2 linked regions of the Coturnix japonica genome follow. The protein of the gene in region 1 interacts with the protein of each later gene in a pairwise test. Links are inferred from orthologs where the notes say so. Each region holds a gene or a part of one and is shown in the gene's direction. Other genes may lie near its edges.

What was found.
Region 2: the proteins of SYNCRIP (region 1) and PRMT8 interact in binary tests that used the Homo sapiens proteins (3 or more experiments, as listed by UniProt). The link is inferred for Coturnix japonica from reciprocal best matches to the Homo sapiens genes SYNCRIP and PRMT8.

The regions. Positions count from the first base shown.
Region 1 is NC_029518.1:70,025,806-70,029,456, forward strand, and holds part of SYNCRIP (heterogeneous nuclear ribonucleoprotein Q), read left to right. Parts: intron 1-301; coding exon 302-437; intron 438-1,309; coding exon 1,310-1,515; intron 1,516-3,651. UniProt on the Homo sapiens protein: Heterogenous nuclear ribonucleoprotein (hnRNP) implicated in mRNA processing mechanisms. Component of the CRD-mediated complex that promotes MYC mRNA stability.
Region 2 is NC_029516.1:68,118,333-68,121,983, forward strand, and holds part of PRMT8 (protein arginine N-methyltransferase 8), read left to right. Parts: intron 1-361; coding exon 362-512; intron 513-3,234; coding exon 3,235-3,356; intron 3,357-3,651. UniProt on the Homo sapiens protein: S-adenosyl-L-methionine-dependent and membrane-associated arginine methyltransferase that can both catalyze the formation of omega-N monomethylarginine (MMA) and asymmetrical dimethylarginine (aDMA) in proteins such as NIFK, myelin basic protein, histone H4, H2A and H2A/H2B dimer.

The DNA.
Region 1 (3,651 bases):
TGCCCATTGTGAGCTGGACATAATCGTAACTTTTCATAGTTCCACAAAAAATCTAAAGAAACTTGTATTAAGAAACAGGCTTGAACAAAAACCAAAGGTAGTTGTTGGCTGTTGCATGAAGGCAGTCTAGGGAACACAGTTATAGTGCAAAGTAATTGAGTATATCTCATAAGAATGTTCTAAATGTCAAAGAACATACCACGTTACTAGGTGTTACACTTTTAGAAGTGAAGTATTTGATAGTGCTGCTGTTGGAGATGAAAGTTATCCAACTAATGGTTATCTGTGGTTTTTTTTTCAGTACAACAATCACGAAATTCGCTCTGGGAAACACATCGGTGTATGCATCTCTGTTGCCAATAATAGACTTTTTGTTGGTTCCATCCCTAAGAGTAAAACCAAGGAGCAAATTGTTGAAGAATTCAGCAAAGTAACAGGTAACGCAGTAACTGTTGTATTGAGCTGGGAAGTGTCGGATGTGATCAGTAATGAACTTTCTGCCATCTTTATCTTGTTGAATGATGATGACTGATAGGACTCAGCATTTCCCTTGACTTTGGGGATTTATGGGTTGTTGTTTAATGTACTGTGCCAAGGGCTGAAATCTGTAATTAGACTTGGTGTGTAGGTCCAGTTTTACTGAGACACGTGTAATGTTTAGAAAGGCCATTCAAACAAACGTGTGGTTTAATTCTTTCAGTGCTAACAGGTATTTCAGAAACTTTTCAAGACAGAACTGAAGCAGATTGGAGAACATAACTAGTTTTGTGCTTCAGAATTGCTAGCGTTCTGATAAGGATCTATTTTTGTTAATAGCATATAGACTTGAAAAGGTAATGTTGTATGGTTTCTGTTACTGAATGCTGTACTTAAGGTTTCCTGGAGCAACACTGAAACAATTTAGAAGTATTGAAATCATGCAAGTTTAACCTTCTGTTCTTTGGACATCCATGGAAAAAGCACATGCTGATAAGTGTTGTGACATAGGGGTTTGAGAGGAGTTACAAAATGCAACTTTATGGCTGCCCTCTCTCCTCTGGTCAGTGAGAAGAAAGGTATTCTTCCATAGTTTCTAAGCTTTCCTCACTTAATAAAAGGGTTGCTAAGCTGGGATAGACTAACATCCTTTTGGAGATGTTGCTCTTGAAAGTGTGGAAACTTTAATATGTTCATAGGCTCAAAAGTCCAGCATGATCATGCTTTTTGGAACCACTAGTTAGATGTGTACTTCCCAGAAACATAATCTCTACTTGTGAACATCAAGTCATAGACTAAAGCTATAACAAATAAATTCTTTGCTTAATTTCAGAGGGCCTTACAGATGTTATATTGTATCATCAGCCTGATGACAAGAAAAAGAACCGGGGTTTCTGTTTTCTTGAATATGAAGATCACAAAACTGCTGCTCAAGCCAGACGTAGGTTAATGAGCGGCAAAGTGAAAGTCTGGGGAAATGTTGTTACAGTTGAATGGGCCGACCCTATAGAAGACCCAGATCCTGAAGTCATGGCAAAGGTAATAAAGCTGTAAGAGAAACGTAGTAGAATTAAAATACCTTGTTCCAGAGTAAGTATTTCCTGATATTAGCCCAGGTTTAAATAACATCTGTCAGTCTTCTTGAATATAGATGTGAATTTTTAAATAACTACTGTCTGATGTTATCTCATTCTCCCAAGGAAGAATTGGTCCATCTGCTGGTGTACTTAATTTCTCCTCTGGAAGTGGATGTAGTGACTCCAAAAACACAAATAGCTTTTGTAGTTTAGGATTTGATTGCACAGAAATTTGGCTATGGTCAGAGAACAAGCCTGAATGATTTGTAACCCTGGAAATGCATGTTTATAACTTAAGAAGTGAAACATTTAAGATGTGCAGATTGGACTTTTCAGAGATGTAGCAATAGCTTTTGAGAAGATGACCAATTATTTTGTACTTTGAACTATGTATTTTTTTTTTTCCTTTCTTCATTACTTTGGCAGAGTGTTAATTCCTTAAAATGTTATGACTGGATTTTGAGTATTTCAGTTAAGCTTAAGTCTGAACTCTAAACATTGTGAAGTACACTGCAACACTTCCATTATACATATGATATTTTGCCATAGGAATTGATTGCCTGATTTTTTTTCTTCCCATCAGATAATGTCCAAGTCTGTTGTTTTCAGTTCTGTTGTGTAGCTGGGTTGTTTGATAGAAACTCATAGCTAGCTCTTATCCTCATCTCTTCACTTGCTTTTTGCCCGTGCTTTTATTTTCACCTGAGACAAATCACTTGCTGGAGTCTTGCTTTGTTGGGCCTAGTAAGATGACTTGGCTGAGAATCTCCTCTTTGCTGGTCCATAAGAAAAAAGGGCTGGAGCAGGGGCTCACTTTTAGGGGAAAAAAATAATCTGCTTTTGTAGTAAGGGCATTGCAGAAGCATTTTGGAGTACCCTGTTTTCAGGCTTTGTTTTTCTTGCTATGTATTGTAGTTGATCAGCAACAGGAAAGAATCTGTTGAGAGTGGCACTTCCTGCATCTCTGTCTGAATTTCTTGGCTCAAAAGAGAGCCATCCTAATCCAACATACTGTTAAACTAAAGAACCTCTGATGACTTGGTCACATAGTTAAGTGGGAGGTGGAAGGGACATCAGTCCCTATCAGTGTCTTTCTGTGGTAAACTTGCAAGTGTAAGGAATGGAAGACTGAAGAAATTAAAACTTGGTAGTGTTTTGTCCCGTATAATTTTTTTAAGGTGTCACCCTTTCAATACCTTGTGTTACTTTATATTTAAGTGGGAACCGTGTAGGGTTTGTGTAGGGAGCCTGCTTTGGCAGGGGGGTTGGACTCGATGATCTCTAGAGGTCCCTCACAACCCCTACAATTCTGTGATTCTGTAACTACAGGTTGGTTATCGGTGTTCCCAGCCACTGCCCTTCATGAGCAAAGGGAGAGTGCTTGACTCTTGTATGCTTCCTTTGGTAGAAGGCTCTGGGAGGAGTGCTGTAAGAGTAGAAGGTTGCTTTTATCAGGGCAATTATTTGATCTGCAGTTTTCTCATCCAAACTACTAGAAAATAAAGTCCATAAGAGCAAATGGTGTTGAAGGCAGATTTACCTTGAATTAGCCAGGGTATGAAAGTGATGTTTGAAATACCTAGCAAAAAAGCTTTTTTATAACTTTTAAGTAGTTGTGCTGATAGTTTTCTCCTAAGCAGCATTTTGATGCTGCTCATGTTTTAAATTATTTCTGTAGCGTGGTTGTGGGTACAGAGCATGTGCTGGATTGGCAGCTTAAGTAGCTAAATAAAGTCTGGTTCTCATGGCTGTGTGGTAGATGATAGGGCAGGAAATAGGGATACTAACCCCTGGAGAATGTAGTAACAGAGTTTGAAGTGCTTGTGCTGTAGGTAGGAGGAGGAAAAGGACCAGATTCAGACTTTCTGGGGGTAGTTCAATCTTGAGCAGTTCACAAGTGGGTCCTGCATTTATTACACAATGCTGCTGTGCATTTGCATGCCGAATAGCAGGGTATATTTGTTGTTAGATGTGTATTGGTGAATTCTTGGTTACAACCTCTGAGCCTTAACCAACTGCGTTTTTTCTTGAAACCTCTTCAGCTTAAATGAAATAAAAGTGATTTCATCATCACTCAGCCCATGCTTCAGTTTTTCTC
Region 2 (3,651 bases), on another chromosome or scaffold:
AGAGGAAAGTTCTTAAAACTGGATTACATATCACCATTTCAACATCCATTGTACCTATATTTGTCAAAGTATCATTTTACTTTAATTTCCTCAAGCTCCCGTCATTGCTCCCTCCCATTCCCAAGGGCACACACTCTTCTATGACTGGCCTCTCGTATCATATTGTCAACTCAGGCCAGTAACTGGATCATTTACTGATGATTTAATATATTAAAATGTACCATGAATTTCTTATATCATAAATGATTGCCAGTTGTCTTAGTTGTTGATAATTAAATAAAATTCTTAAGTACATCACCTTAACAATTACCTTAGTCACAGACATCTGAATCTAAAAAGTTATTCATTCTCTTCAAAACAGGAAGTAGATGTTTATACAGTGAAGACTGAAGAACTGGCATTTACTTCAGCATTCTGCCTCCAAATTCAGCGTAATGATTACATTCATGCATTGGTCACCTATTTTAATATTGAATTTACAAAGTGCCACAAGAAGATGGGATTTTCTACAGGTAATCTGTACTTCTGTTCCATTTCTGTTTCAAGCTGTTTGTCAGTACTACCAGTAAGATGGTACATGAGGGTTTACCGTAACAATAAGTTTTCATTTCAGTGATAAAAACTACACCTTGATGGAAGTGATCAGGATGGAGAAAGGACAATTGTAGGAATTCTGCAAAAGAAGTGGCACAATAGCTACCAGTCTTACAGCTCAGAAAGAATTATAATCCTGGAGTTCATGCTCATCAGCAGCTATATCCTAATCCTGTATCATGTTTCTTGTAGGAAACAAGAATTAAGGGATTGTTGCCTCAGTGAGAAATAGCAGCTCTAGGTCCCAGCTTCCATGAAATCTGAAACTCCACAAATGTTTCTTGCTTTTCTCAGAATCTAAAGCAAAATTATCAGTTTTTCAATAACACACATATTGCTTATGTAAATTTGCTCAATCAACTCATACATGAAACTCTAACTTACCTAGGTGAGCAGATATTTAAAGGAATAATTCCATTCCTGTGAGGAATGGTTTGACAGAGTGAATAAACCAGTTTTGCAAGAAATGCAGAAATCTTGTAACTGCTTTAATGATGAGAACAATAAGCAATAATTGCTGGTTGTTACTCGCACCATTTGTGTCACTGGAATCTAATGTAAGTTATGAGCTTTTAGAAATATTTTCTTTTTTTTTCCCCCTTTTTTCCTGTTTTTTTCCCCTTACAGCAGCTTTCAGCTCTTCACCAAGAGTCAAAACTTATGTTTTATTCTTCTAGAATAACCATAGGGAAGCTATTATTTGGTACCTCAGATTCTTATATTTTTTCATCAAACACATTTCCCTGGTCATTCTATAAAGCCATTGCAGTGCAATATTTCTCACACTGTTACAGGTATCAGTGACCAATGACAGGCAAAATTACCAGTGCAAATTCACTAGGGACTGCTTAAACTTTTGTATTTAAATCAAGGATAAAAACAAATATGCAAAACAGAAAAAAATAAACTTGCTGAAGAGAAATGACAACTAAAACAAACAGTACCAGTCAATTAAAGTTTAGAGATGTAGTAAAAGCAGAATTAAACAAAGTAATTCCTGATCAGCCAGCCCTACACAATAGAAAGAAATCTGTGAAATAAGTATCCAAATAGACTAATGGCCAAGGCAGAGTAAAAAATAAAATAATAATTCCTTTTTTCCTACACTAGAGTAATACATTAACAAGCAGAAGGGAACGACTGGTTACATCATTCAAAAACATGCTTGAAACAGTCACAGTATCACAGTGTCACAGTCTCGTGCGGGTTGGAAGGGACCTTAGAGATCATCGAGTCCAACTCCCAGGATTCGAGTCTCCTGGGCAGCAGCGCGGCACTTCTACCACTTGCGCCACAAGGGGGATTCGAACCCGGGGCTACGGTGTTGCAAGCGGCATTCCTACCACTGCACCACCGGGGCACACAGTCATTCCAAAAGCAGTCATGTCACAAGCAGGTGCTAATTGCAGCTTTATGTAGGTGTTGTCAGAGTGATATTGAACTTCTCTCTAGTTGCCCTGAAGTTTGGGGCCAACTGTATGCAACATCATTTACATTCTCCTATACTGAAACAAGATAAAAGGCAGTTCTCACCTATTTTAGGACAAGATCACCTTTCTTTGGCGGCAGTCACTTCTTCCTATTAAACTAGATGATGATTTAGCATTGTCATCTCTCTTTGAGATTAACTTCATTTCGTAATGTAGTATTAGGACAACAGGCAAGAGTTCTAAGTTTTGGATAATCCCTCTCAGGTCTCCCTAACTTGAAAATGCAAGCATTTCTGAACAGCAAGTAGAGCAATACTGGAAATTTTGAAGCATGATTGCAAAGTGTGTGCTGCTGTCCTCAGGATTTATAGTATTTTTGTTCTCCTCCAAATATAATGAACAGCAATGGAGGTTTTTTGGGGGGGAAGAAGAAGTCTAAATACAAAATAGTTTAATAGAATGTGCTCAGTCCTGAATAAAAATATAAAATGAAGACAAACCAAAGCAAGCATTCAATTCTAATAAACTTAATTAATTAAAATACTTGTGCAAAGGAACCCCAGATTTAACTAAGACTAGCACTTGGCAAAATCTGTCATTTAGTTCTAAACTCAGAGGGCATCAAAGCAGTTCTACTAAGTGAGACTAGAAATTCATTTGGATTGGTATCCATCTCTGTCAATCATCCATAGCATATGCTGTTAGAAAAAAAAAGAAAGAAGAGGTTGAAATGCCCTTTCCCCAGACATGTTCTCCTGAAAATCTGATTTATATTCATTCAGTATCATGAATCAAAGGTTTTTTCGTCACCATGTTTAGCATTTTATGCATATTCCTTTGTGATTTTCTGTTTTTGAATTAATCTATACTTCTGACATTCAAATTACATAGCAGTAAAGATTTTCCCAACTTGAATGTGTGTAAGTTAATAGGAATACATAAAGGAAGTGCCTGTCATACTCCCTAATATTCTTCATGGAATCCCTCTTTCTGAGTGTAATCACTTCTGACATGTTCCAGTTAAACTTAGATGACATACCACTATGAGTCAATAGAATTGTGTTGCTATGATTGTCCTGCTTAAGTTCAACTGTGTATTGTATATGAGTTAAAAGTATTCTAGGCCTTTTTTCAATTGTTTGCAAATCTTCATTTGATTTATAAGACAATGACCAAATTTCTTTAAATAATGCCTATATATGTTTTCTAGCACCTGATGCTCCCTATACTCACTGGAAGCAAACTGTTTTCTACTTAGAGGACTATTTAACTGTGAGACGAGGAGAAGAAATCTATGGGACTATATCCATGAAACCAAATGCAAAAAATGTGGTAAGTCAGCATCATTGCTTCTAATTCCAGCTCTACTGATGACAAATGATAATCAGCAGTAAATAAAATGTGTATAAGTAAAACGAGTATGCAAAAAACACTAAATTTGTGTATTTTATTAATTAGCTGTATTCATAGCTTTGCCAAAGCTGGTGACTGTAATGATAATCTAGTTCTTACATTACAGAAGACAGCTTGCAAAGCAGCTAGCAAGGGAAGGAAGAAATTGTCCAGCTACATCACCAAGTCAACTGCCCTCTGAAATAATCTAGAGTCATATTTTGTGAAAAAAAGC